Arabidopsis thaliana: one gene and its partner. The protein of the gene in region 2 interacts with the protein of the main gene of each other region in a pairwise test. Each region holds a gene or a part of one and is shown on either strand. Other genes may lie near its edges.

The links. The genes of interacting proteins can lie anywhere in the genome.
Region 1: the proteins of HCF136 (region 2) and P5CS1 interact in a two-hybrid assay, tested with the Arabidopsis thaliana proteins (one large-scale study listed by BioGRID).

What each region holds. Positions count from the first base shown.
Region 1 is NC_003071.7:16,597,664-16,605,358, forward strand, and holds P5CS1 (delta1-pyrroline-5-carboxylate synthase 1), read right to left. Parts: upstream 5,657-7,695; 5' UTR 5,277-5,656; coding exon 5,217-5,276; intron 4,929-5,216; coding exon 4,857-4,928; intron 4,710-4,856; coding exon 4,606-4,709; intron 4,387-4,605; coding exon 4,284-4,386; intron 4,204-4,283; coding exon 4,042-4,203; intron 3,938-4,041; coding exon 3,660-3,937; intron 3,563-3,659; coding exon 3,412-3,562; intron 3,311-3,411; coding exon 3,146-3,310; intron 3,034-3,145; coding exon 2,956-3,033; intron 2,823-2,955; coding exon 2,733-2,822; intron 2,654-2,732; coding exon 2,567-2,653; intron 2,485-2,566; coding exon 2,398-2,484; intron 2,310-2,397; coding exon 2,213-2,309; intron 2,128-2,212; coding exon 2,024-2,127; intron 1,928-2,023; coding exon 1,852-1,927; intron 1,671-1,851; coding exon 1,520-1,670; intron 1,422-1,519; coding exon 1,353-1,421; intron 1,268-1,352; coding exon 1,201-1,267; intron 1,109-1,200; coding exon 1,038-1,108; intron 935-1,037; and 3 more. Other genes in the region: AT2G39795 (Mitochondrial glycoprotein family protein), read left to right, coding at 1-102, 206-365. UniProt on the Arabidopsis thaliana protein: P5CS plays a key role in proline biosynthesis, leading to osmoregulation in plants.
Region 2 is NC_003076.8:7,776,460-7,781,447, reverse strand, and holds HCF136 (photosystem II stability/assembly factor, chloroplast (HCF136)), read right to left. Parts: upstream 3,432-4,988; 5' UTR 3,364-3,431; coding exon 2,964-3,363; intron 2,875-2,963; coding exon 2,639-2,874; intron 2,547-2,638; coding exon 2,416-2,546; intron 2,304-2,415; coding exon 2,171-2,303; intron 1,903-2,170; coding exon 1,780-1,902; intron 1,485-1,779; coding exon 1,410-1,484; intron 1,325-1,409; coding exon 1,209-1,324; intron 1,052-1,208; coding exon 985-1,051; 3' UTR 541-984; downstream 1-540. UniProt on the Arabidopsis thaliana protein: Essential for photosystem II (PSII) biogenesis; required for assembly of an early intermediate in PSII assembly that includes D2 (psbD) and cytochrome b559. Has been suggested to be required for chlorophyll a binding.

The DNA.
Region 1 (7,695 bases), on a different chromosome or scaffold from region 2:
CTGTATGGCTTTTCCTGATGAGATTGCTATAGATGCTTTATCTGTGAAACATCCTGGGGACTCTTTGGAGGATCAACTGGCTAATGAAGGGCCTGATTTTGAGTAAGCCTTTGTGAATAATAATTGCAAGTGTAAGGTTGTATAGAGATAGGCATGATGAACAGAGAGGTTATAATGTTGGTTTGTGTTTCATCGCTTTTTGCAGAGACTTGGACGAGAATCTGAAGAAGACGTTCTACAAGTTTTTGGAGATCAGAGGAGTGAAAGCTAGCACGACGAATTTCCTGCACGAGTACATGACGAGGAAAGTGAACCGAGAGTACTTTTTATGGTTGAAGAATGTTAAGGAGTTCATGGAACAGTGAAACGTTAGGTTGATAGCTAAGTACCTAAGAATGAGATTGTGAGGTTCTTTTCTTGTGTTCATTGTTAGCTTTCAAATGTAGCACAATCTTTGAGAATTTATGGTTAAGAGTTTCCAGTTCTGATTCAACTTGTGATTTCCAATGCAAATCGAAATATATTTATAGATAAGCGAAATGAAAAGTAGTAGTATCTTGATAAAGATCAGAAATGTGTAGGTAGCTTACAATGACAAGAAGAGAAGCTAATTAAATGTTCTTCATCGTACTTATGAGCAAGACTAAGTGGTAAAGTGGATCTTATTTTTGGTGCAATCCTAACCCTAAATCAAAACCACTACATAAGCGAGGGTTTCAATAATAAGTAGTAGTAATAATAATAATGATAGGATATGAGTACTAAGCAGAGAGGAAACAAAAAAGCCCATCCTCCTCTGTGTCTCTCCTCAAGTCTCAACCAAATACACAAACACACACTCGGAAGTCTTGTTTAAGCTTGGATGGGAATGTCCTGATGGGTGTAAACAATTCCATTGTCTCCGTCGACAACTTGTCCTTTTCCTCTCATTATCCTGCAACCATTTCACCATGAAAATTAAAAGAAGCATAGGAAAAAAGGCTTATTGTGGGTCTTTATTGACATAACAATGGTGCTTTGAGTAACTAAAATTGTACCATCTCGTTGTAAGTAATCCTTCGACCCCGACTGGACCACGAGCATGGATCCTGCCCGTGCTTACCCCCACCTATATACCACAACCAATACTTTTTTATCACTCACTCTTCCTCTTTTTATTTGTTTTTAATCTATAGACTTATGTGTATGTCTCTGACTTACCTCTGCACCAAGTCCAAATCGGAAACCATCTGAGAATCTTGTGCTGGCGTTGTGGAACACAGCAGCGCTGTTCAAGGTCGCAACATCTTACAGTCAGTTTCCAAGAAAAATCAAAGACAGATAATAAGCAAGTTAAAGATTCAGTACTTTACCTATCCACTTGGCGAAGGAATAGCTCTGCAACTTCGTGATCCTCTGTCACAATGCAGTCTGTGTGTGCACTGCTCGTAACAACATACAAGACAAGATAACGAGTGAACATTTCCACTACATATGCAAAGAATTTCTAAAGTCAATGCCTGTTATGTCGAGTTTCTACCTCCCATGTCGGTGAATGTGATCTATAGCACCATAAACGTCTTCTACAACTTCAACAGTGCAAGCCTTGGCACAGTACTCATGGTTGAATGACCGTGCTTCTGGTATGTTCAGTATCTTACTTGCCCTTGGTCCACCATACAAAGTGACTCCTGTAGTTTAATATATCTCATGAGTTATGCCACTCTAGAAATGTTTTCATGAGATGACCATTCAATATTTATAATCAAACAGGCTACATGTATATCTATGAGACATCCAGATGGAAGGTAACAAGAGGTCAAATAAATGGTTAAGATAGACCAACAAATGATTGGGCCATTTATGACGTACCATTGCTCTGCAGAGCAAAAATAAGCTCATTAAGCACAGCATTCTGCTCTAGATCCTTATGCACAAGAAGGGTTTCCTGAAAGAGACGAGAGAAGATGAAATGAGTCAGTTGAACTTTAGAATCTCCCACTGTATTAATTAAATCTCGATGGAAGGTAAAAAGTTCTCTTACCATCGCATTACAGGCTGCTGGATAGTCCAACTTTGCATCAGAAACTATGCGCTTTGCCATATCCGTATCACAAGCCTTGTCGACATATACATGACAGATTCCATCTGCAAGTACACAATTAAGCCATCGTCACACTCTAGCACAATCCAAGTAAAGAATCTTCTGGAAAAAACAAACTTGCAACCATACCAGCATGACCTAGCACAGGGATTTTTGTAGTATTTTTTATCTGAGTAACAAGCTTGTTGCTTCCTCTTGGGATCACAAGATCGATAACGTCATCAAGCTGTAACACAAATGCAAATGGTGGGTTCCAGTTTAACAAAAGATACAAAAGAACTGTTGCAGCTCCTAGCTTGTAAATCTGTTCTTACCTTAAGCAAATCAGGAATCTCTTCTCTTGAAGTCACAAGTCCAATGAGTTTACCCCCAACAGTCTCTGGAATTGCATCAGTGATCACCTAGAAATTTACCATGAACTTAAAAGAGCTGTAGTGATAAATTTTGAGGCAAATAATGATATGAAATCTGAGGCAATGGTACCTTGTGTAAGATAGCATTTGATCGCCGGGCCTCCTTTCCACCCTTCAGCAGAAGACCATTTCCACTACGGATGGCAAGTGAAGCTATCTGTTTGGTTTGTGGATAAAGCACAGCTTTAGGAAATTCACATATTAAGAAGGGAAATGAATTTTGACTATTAACATACCTGTACAAGTGCATCAGGTCGGGATTCAAAAACAATCAGAAGTACGCCTAATGGTGATGAGGTCTTCTCTAAGACAAGACCATCTGCCACCTGTAAAAGGAATTGCCACAAAGAACAAATAGCATAAACAACTATTGTATGTCAACTAGGAGGATAGTCATATCCCTTATTTAACTCAAGAGTATGTAAATTAACTATATGGTAACAATTGTCCTCTGATCACCTCTGTTTTCTTTAAAACACGGCCGATTGGATCTTCCATATCAGCTAGCTTACGAACTGAAGCTGCAAGGCTCGAGATCTATCAAGCACAAAATAAGAAACATAATAAGGAGAGGTTACATTGGCACAATATGTTTGCCCAAGCCATAGCAACAAAAAGCAACTATCTATGGCCATGAATACTTTCTTACCTTTCCAGGTGTCATAACTAAGCGAGCCACCATTGACTCTTCCAACCCAGCCTCTTGTGCAGAAGCTACATCTAACTCATTCTCAGCTTTGATTGTAGTAACATTTGCTTCAAGGGCATCGGCAATATCAAGCAGAATTTTTTTCCTGTCTTCCGAAGATAAGGCCTATAGCAAAATGTAAAAAAAAGTTAAGTAACTCTATGCCGAGCAAGAATGGTTTTTGACGTTACGAACATGAAAGAAAGCCATGCATAAGTCACAATTACCTGAAGCTTTCTGGAACTTTCCCTCGCAGCAACTGCCATGTCACGAGCATTAGAATCTGTGATCGGAGCCCATAAACGAGCATCTTGATGAAACAAGGTTCCAACACGTAGTCCTCTGAGGACTTTATCTATGTTCTCAGCTGAATACCCACTTCAGAAGCAAGAAAGATATCAATATACCATCTAACCAAATTTGAACAAGCATATCACCCTATCATTATGCATGGTGAGCTTAGAAGGTTCCTCACCTGGTTATGATGACAGGAATCCCAGCATAAGCTGCATTGACTGCAGCTTTGACTTTTGCAGTCATACCCCCTCTCCCTAATCTTGATTTGTCGCCGAATGTAATCTCATCTTGATGTTTTTCTTTAACAAAAGTGTGGATCAACTTTGAGTTAGGATCACTTGGAGGGCCTGTGTAAAGACCTTCAACATCGCTCAGAAGAATCAGAAGATCAGCTTTCAGTTCCAACGCCAGTAGAGCAGCTAAGCTATCGTTATCCCAGAAAATACCAGAAGAATCCTGCATATATCAAGATCCAGTGAAGCTGAACATTAGACTACGAGATTCAAAGAATCCCTCACATCTCAGAGTGTGTAGAAAAGTTCATGTCAAAAGGGACAAACCTGATATGGGGCTCTTCGGGTGCTAATAGCATCATTCTCATTGAAAATTGGAATAACCCTCAAATCAAGCATAGACTTGACAGTTTCATTAAGTTGCTTCCTGAAATCCTTGTCTCTAAAACTACTGTCATTCACCAGAAGTTGAGCTGCCGTCACATCAAGCTAACCAAAGAAAAACAACAGCATCAATATTTGGATGTCTTACACAATAATCTAGAATTCGATAACAAAGGAAAAATCACCTGGTCAAACATAGTCTCATAGTAAGCCATAAGACTGCTTTGTCCAACACCAGCACAAGCCTTCCCATCAAGTTCAGTCTGAGGCTTCTGAAGATCCGCAAAGCTGCAAAAGCCATTAACAAAAAAAAAGAAAAAAAACAAATCCATCAGCAAAAAAAAACAAAACTTTTAAATCATAACACACATAAACACATGTCACTGTTATTGAGCAATAAAAACATAAGCCAAAATGGTCCATCCATCATCACCCTTTTTTTTTTGTTTCCAAATGTTGTTATAAGGGAAAGGGATTAATAATGAAGTGTAGCCATTAAGCTTTAACCTGCTATTGACTAATTGTCGATAACGAAGCCTTTGCCTGCCAAGACCAACCGCACCAGATGACACCAATATCACCTCAAATCCATCCGAGTTTAATTCCGCAAGCTGACATTATATATATATATTTTTTTACAAATTAAAGTTGCCACTACGCATGAATAATTTCACATGTCTTTCGTGAAAAAAAATGAAACCTTTACACTTTTTTATAAACACAATACAAAAAGGAGATTATTAAAATTTGACAATTACCTGTTCACACAGTGCTCCTAAACGACCAAGAGCCAATCTTCCACCTTTTCCAGTAACAACTGCTGTCCCAACCTTTTTTTTTTTACATAATATAAACAAAAATCCAAAATTTTAATCACCAAACAGAAAAAAAATCCCTCGAATATTCTGATTATTCATTCGTCTCTAATGACATGCAAATTAAGATTCATACGAGAAGTTTTAGTTTCTGGGATTAGAAAATATATTCAGATTCACGAATTCAATAAACAAAGAGTTTAGATGCACTTAAATTACATAATATTCATTTCCACATTATCACAAATTAAGAATCTAATCATCAACAACAAAATCTGAAAATGCGAACGTATCTCAACGAACCTTAACGACGATACGTTTGACGTCTCTGGCAAAAGCACGTGAACGATCTAGCTCCTCCATTATCGTCGTCGTCGTCTACCAAAACCACACACAGAGAGAGGAACGAGTTAACTGAGTCGGACTCAGTGAAGCACCGTCGTATTTAAGGTAAGAAAATAAATATCAGGTGAGGGAAAGGTGGAGATCACCAAGGAAGATATGAAGGGGTTTATAAACACCAGCGACACCAGAGACTCAGGCTCTGTTATCAAACCAGGAAACGCCACGTGTGGAACTAAGGGTAGGTTTGGTATTTTAGATACTAACAAATGAAGTGGCGCGTGTTCGTTGGGTGGTGTATGGTAATGAGATTAGGGTGTGATGTAGAGGATTGTGGCGCTATAGGTGATGGGTATTTTGGGAAATAAATAAAATCGGCGGCTGAGGAAACGCCGTGGAAGTGAACGGAGATGAGAAGAGAGGACAAAGTGAAAAGTGGACAGCAAGGCAATTTTTAGATGACGTCGTCTCTCACGATTTCTATTTTATGCGGCGCCACAACAATTTTTTCATTTTAATCATTGTTATTATTTTATTATATGATTGTGTGACATATTTGAGTGCAATGATTATTAGTGTATAATGTTATCTGATGAAATAATTAGGGGTTTGAATGGTTATGGCGGTTGGGGCGGACAAAACCGTCAACGGATCAGACCGTTTTTTATTTATCATTCATCAATTATAGTCCGCAGTGGTCTGGACTTAAAAAAATAGAAGAAAATCGTTGCGGACCATCTGCGGACCGTTTTTACATACAAATAAACTTGGTCCGCAGCGGTTTATTGTCCACCCCAAAAATGAGATGGACTAAACCGCAGACAAATTAGACCGCTTTGTCCGCTGCCTTCATTCATAGCCTAGATGTGTATCATACAAAGCGTTTCTTTCTCTCTCTCTCTCAAACCTAATTAGAAAACAAATTTTAGATTTGTGTTAAGAAACAAATCTTACTTGTTATCAAATTTCACAAATTCAGATAGATTATAAAACTTCCAAATCCACATATTTCAACATGAAATGATTTTCCCTCAGGTTACAGATAGTTTATTAATGATGCTTAGATATTTCCTTCTTTCTTCGAACCCTTGTGAATTTTTTCAGACTTACAGTATTTAGATATTTTTCAATTACGGGAGAGGTGATTTATTTTGGTAAGAATATATATAAATGTGTGATTAGCCAATCCAATTTCTAAAGGCTAATATGATAATGTTTGTGCCAACCTCGAGATTCTCCAGATAAAAAAAAGATAAATAATGGCCAATCCAGTTTCGAACATCATCCATCTCATTGGCTCTGTAAATGAGCCAGATATCATTAATGTCAGATTCAGAATTTTAAATAAAAACTTTGATACTAAATTGTAGGGTTTATAAATCATAACTGGGCAAAATCAATAATACATTACAATTGTAACTCAAAAGTAAAAAAATACATCAAATGTGTTGCAAATCAAATCTCTTACATTGTCTAGCCATGCCACGCTCAACGCTGCTAATATCATTGAAAACTTCCAAAAACTATGAGGGGCTTCCACAATCGTTGGATCTTCCGGAAAACTTCTTGAAAACTTCCACAAGCTACTGGTAGCTTCTTGAAATTGGATACCGCTTCATGATGCTACATTTCGCTTTTTGAAGCTGTTGAGAGCTTCTTCAAATGATAACGAATCAAACTATTAATTCCAAGATGTTGGGTATATAAGATCATATATAGAAATAGTACATTTTAATGCATGAGAATATTAAAAACCGTATCATATGGTTTAGATTTTAGACAACGCTCTTGATTCTTGGTCATTAGAACCTCTCCCAAAAACAAAAACAAAAACAAAAACAAAGCTAATTGCAAAAAACTTGAAGGCAATGAATGGTGCATGCGTTTTGTTCAAAGCCAAGCCATTATTCCAAGTTCCAACACCTATCTTACCGACTTCAGTTTCTTTTTCAGTTTTCATCAATCTCTAATTTTTACTCTTTTTATCTCCTTCATGGAGAAAATGAAACAAATAAAGTAATCAATGTAATTCTCAGGTTTAAGCCAAAACAAACACACAAAATTAGTTAATGGAAGAAGGGCACGCGGCTTGATGCGATTAGGGTCTCAGATGTCTGATTGTCTCTGGGGAATCAATGGTCCTCTGTGCATGTGCTCTATTTTTTTAAGCCTTTAGGCCCACCCACTCCAATCTTGTTGAAATAATATGCACTTATTTGTTTTTGTCTGTGTGATATTATTCTTGTTATTTTAACTAAAGATCACATTCGTAACCAACGACATATCATAGTCAGGGATAGTTATTTAGACTCAAGTATGCATAGACACGCAGCAGCTGCACATGCGTATATATACATAATTATATTTGAAAAGAAAGATGCGATTTTGATTGGTACGTAAAAAAAAGGGTACATAAAACGATAATGGAGAAGTAAGTGAG
Region 2 (4,988 bases):
AGATCTGATCAAAAATTCTCGGATTCCGGTAAAATAGAAGAGGAAAAGGGGAAAAAGCGAAAACGAGAAACGAGGGAGAGACGTTGAGAGATTGAACAAGAGAGGTGAAAACTCGTGGAGTGAAATGGAAGGAAATTTTCTCGTAGATTCAATGTGAACTTTTTCTCGCCGGATTTACCGGGAAAAAAACGAACGAGAGATCTCTTCTCCGGTTCTCCCTCTCGTCGCCACCGGAAAACGACACACTATTATATATTTTTCTTTTTTCGAAGAATAGAATTAATTATTATTAATGTTCAAAACAAAAACCGCGTTACAGCTTATCCATAACGAAAGCAAAAAAGAAAAATGATCAGATGACAAAAAAGAAAAGAAAAAAAAGTTATTCAAAAATAAAATAAAAATAATATTAGCAAACTAAACCAGTTTAAGTTTCATTAGGTTCAATTAGGTTCAACTGCGGATAAAGTGCAGTGCAGTTCAAATAATAACAAAAACATATATATGCAAAAACATTCGTTACTATTTGAACCGCACCGCATTGTTCGGTTCAGTCACCGTTCCACGGACAACAACCCACCGCATACCAAATTTATTTATATGTAGTAATTGACAATTTTTAAATAGTAAATAAAAAGCGGTCTAATCCACAAACGGATTTATCAATATATGTTTCTCTTATGAATTGACAATAAAGTGAGTAATAAAATCTCTGGCGAAGATTTCTTGTCATCTTTCTTGGTTGCCTACACAATGAAATTTCTTGGCTGAAAATAGGTTATAAACATACATAGATGAGATCAAATCCAACTCCAACTAACAGTGAGAAACAAAGCTTTTCAGAAGAAACACAAAATTATATATATTTTGTGAAGGGAATGTATACAATAGTGTAATGTAGTATTAAAACGCAGTTAAAGGCTTTACAGAGAAGGATTGAAACATAACCATTTCAATTTAACCTCTTTTTTATTTTTAAATTCTTCAGCCAACATATCGGAGCAAGACTCCATCGTTGCCAAGCACAAATCCTTTCTTGTCATCCACAAATCTGCAACAAAAAACAGACAGGAATTGAGAACTGATTAGTTTGTTCGTTTATGCTAAAGTATTTGAGATTTGAGATGAGATGAGATGGGTGGGAACAATGATGGTTCCCAATGATGGTATTGAAGGAGTGTGTTTTGATGTTTGAGTTAGAGACTTACTTGACTGCGTATAGGTTAGCTGCGATATTATCAGCAGCTTTGTCACGGTTCCATGATTTGCCTCCATTTCTTGTTCTCAGTAGTATGCCACTGCCTCCTGCTGCCCATGCTTCTTCCTGCAATACCCAAAAAAAAAAAAAAATGGTGTAAAGATCGGAGCAGATTCAGAGTTTTGAGTGATCATCGTGGAAACTCATTTACCTCTGAGCGATATCCAACATCTAGAATGCCAAAGCCACGGCTTTGTACTGGAACTTCTTCAAACTCCTCTGTAATCTGAGCAATTATAACAGAGGAGATCAAAATCAGATGCAGTTGGAAGTTGAAACATTGGAAGAGAATTTAAATCACAAGGAAACAGTTTTTTTATTTTATTTTCCTTGTTATTAGTCCAGGGAATAGCAGATAACAAAAGAAAATTGTGTTTCTTAGTTCATGGCTAGATTTGGTTTCATCCTCTAAGTGGCAAAAGAACCCAGAAACTCGCAAGTAAATACCAAAACGAGAAGAAAAGGAAATTTTCAGAGAATAAAACTGCAAGAAGTGAGGAGAGTCTTGCTGCTGTACTTACCCCAGTACCTTTGCTAAGATAAAGTCCTCCACCACGAACAAGAAGCCAAAGACCACCATCAGCTCTCCATCCCATGTTCTGAATTCTTCTAGCAACAGCTCTATTGTGTGGTTGCCAGTAAGGCTGCAATATACCAATACTATGGTGAATGACAGTCTAAAGAGCACGCAAACCACACACAAGAACAAAGAGAGGGATTGGTAGTCCCTTGTAAGACACATAATACCGTTTACTTAGACAAAGTACTTTTTAATCAAAATCAAAATCAGCAATAAGACTGAGCCTAAGCAAGTGCTAAAACTTCACCTAGCTATGTCATAAAAAGGACTAAGAGTTCAAAAGCAAACCACAAGTATAAATGTATTTCTTCATAGCCTTAATTGAGTCTCACCTGCCCAGGCTCCCATGTCAGAAAGAAGTTACCACGGCTCGAAACAGCGACATATCTTCCATCAGGTGAACGATTAACAGCACTGAAAGTTCCCGTGTAGTAACTAGCACCACTGATTCCACTGGATACTGTTCTGCAAGACCATAGGAAATACTGAATTAAGGTCTACTCTTTGATCTCTATTGAATCTGGATGGAAAAGACAATGCCAATTCCCTAGTATAAACCAAAGAGAGGGTAACGAACCTGTTCAAGGTAGCTGAAACAGTTTCCTGAATAGCAGCTTTCCAGTTATATCCCCTGTTTGAAGTAACATAAATAGCACCTTCATCAGTAACCATCTCTGCACTCTTATCTTCTGTCGCTTTTATAAACACCTACAACAACATTTGTAACAAACACATTCTCATAAACAAAAACAACAACAATAGAAATCTCTGAAAACACCAGAAGAAACAAGATATAATACCATATCTCCAGGAAGCTGAGAACTTAGAGGAATCCTATCCCAATTCTCTCCAGCATCAGCAGTGTACAATAAAATCGCAGGTTTGCCAATAATCCATCCTTCTTTGCCTTTAAAGCTAATCGAATTGAATCTATAATTGAAATCTTCTTCTTCAGCTGAAGGAATCGAACGTGGATTCCAAGTGCTTCCACCATCTTTAGTCTCTAACAAAGTCTGTCTCGTTCCAAGTAAAAACCCTAATTGACATTTCAAGCAAGAATCAGTAAGTAAAACAATTTCGAACTTAAGAACGGAAAATTAAAGAAGAAGAAGAAGGAGTAATTACCTCGGCTAGGTTCGTCGGGGACGAAAGCAATGTCGAGAAGAACAACACCGGGATCGATTGGGAGAAACACTCTTTCCCATTCGGATAACTGTTCATCAGCTCTCGCTGGTCCAACAATGGAAGAAAGCGAGAGTGATACAGCTGCCGATTGGTACAGAAGCTCCCGCCGACTGAAAGATAAGGATGAAGAGGACGATGATGGTGATGGAGATGGAGGAGGAGAAGATGAGGCTTTAGGGATTAGGCGATGAGAAATGCGTTGAGAGAGGAATCGAGGAGAAACAGAGGGCTTGAAGAGAAGATAACCGTCGCAGAGTTGCAGAGACGCCATTGATGTGTGTAAATGTTCTTCGATCTCTCTCACTCTCTTCTCTTTCTCTCTCCCGCCTCGAGAATACATATCCTTTTGCTGTGGTTATCTAACGTCTACGTAGTGTACACGTGTCGTTTTATTATTGGTGTAATTGTTTCTAACAATCATATTTTAATTTACCTTTACTTCCAAGTTTTGAGTATATAAACTCAAATGTAATTATTTTCACGTTGATAGGGTTTTCTCTCTCTTCTCTCTCCTCATCTTTCAGAGAGTTTCAGCTTTTTTGGCCAGCAATGACTGGCTTTATCAGCAGTGTTTGGTCGGCTTCTACTCCGGCATCGCTGGCTTCCTTAGAAGCGTTGGCTGGCTCAGCTTCCGGCATCGACCGGCTACTTTTAGCGGTGGTGGCTGGCTTATCTCCCGAGAGCAAGATACCCTCTTTCTTGTTTCGTCGGGCTTTTCTCCGGCGTCTTTAGCCGGTTTTTTCTCCGGTTTTTTGACCGGATTTAGATTTGATTTGTTTTTTTTTTATCTTCTGCTTGTAGTTCAAAGATTGATGAACCCTAAGAGTTAAAAAGATGTTGATTGAAGAAGAAGAGGAAGAAAAAGAAAAAGAAGAAGAAGAAGATTTGCACTTCGTGGAGTCAAATTCTCGTCCAAGCTACAACTGAAATTTCGCCATTAATCTTTTGAGCGACGAGTGAGCTATGCCAATTAAACAAGTTTTCCGGTGTTTCGGCCGGAATTGAAGCTTCTGACGGCGACTCCCTTCTCTTCCAGTTCCTATGTGTCCTTCAAAATGTTTCCCACTGACACGTGTTTTCTATGCGGCGCACAACAATCATTTGTTCTCTTCCTTCAGTTTAGGGTTTATTCATTTGGGCTTTTGGGCTGTTTTTTTTTTTTTTCTTTGGGCTTGTTTATTTTAGTCTTTGTGAATTATTGGCCTGTTACTTTTGGCTCTATAATATCAATAAAACACACTTGTGACAAAAAAAAAAAAACTCAAATGTAATCATCTAAATTTACTAAAATATTTTCCTCCTTGATTTTCTTCCTTTCTCCCTGGTCATTCTCAAATTTTTAACTACTCAATCCTTTTGAGTCATACTTTCATCTTCATCATTTTCACTGTGATGAATCCATGTGACATTTTTTCCATTATCATACATAATCCAAAAGTCTCTCCTTTGCTAACATCTTTTTCTTTTAGCATTATATGCATCACTAAGAAAAGATAAGAAATAAAAGATTGAACGCTAAAGGTTCAGACATTCATCTTTGTCCGTAATTCATCTTGAATCGAGAAAGTAATAAGATGATTAAAATTAATCATTACAAAATTTGCACAATTCATAGTCTAGTAAATCTAAGTATGTCTACAAAGCTCTTATGAGTAGGAAGAACAAATCATACGAAGCAAGACTTGATATGACTCCAATGAACAGATTAAAAATCCAGAAAAATAGTTTGAAATAATTTACTTATTTATGATATGAAAAGGTTGCCAACTTAGTTTTAAATTATGAAAAGGAAATTCACAAAGGAATACAGTAAAACTTCTATAAATTAATAATGTCGGGAACGTGAAATTTTATTAATTTATAGAGATATTAATTTGTTGAATTATTAATTTATAGAGAGATTTGGTTAATTTGTAATTTTTTTTAACTTTCCTATATGAAAAGAAGTTTTATTTGTCATAACCA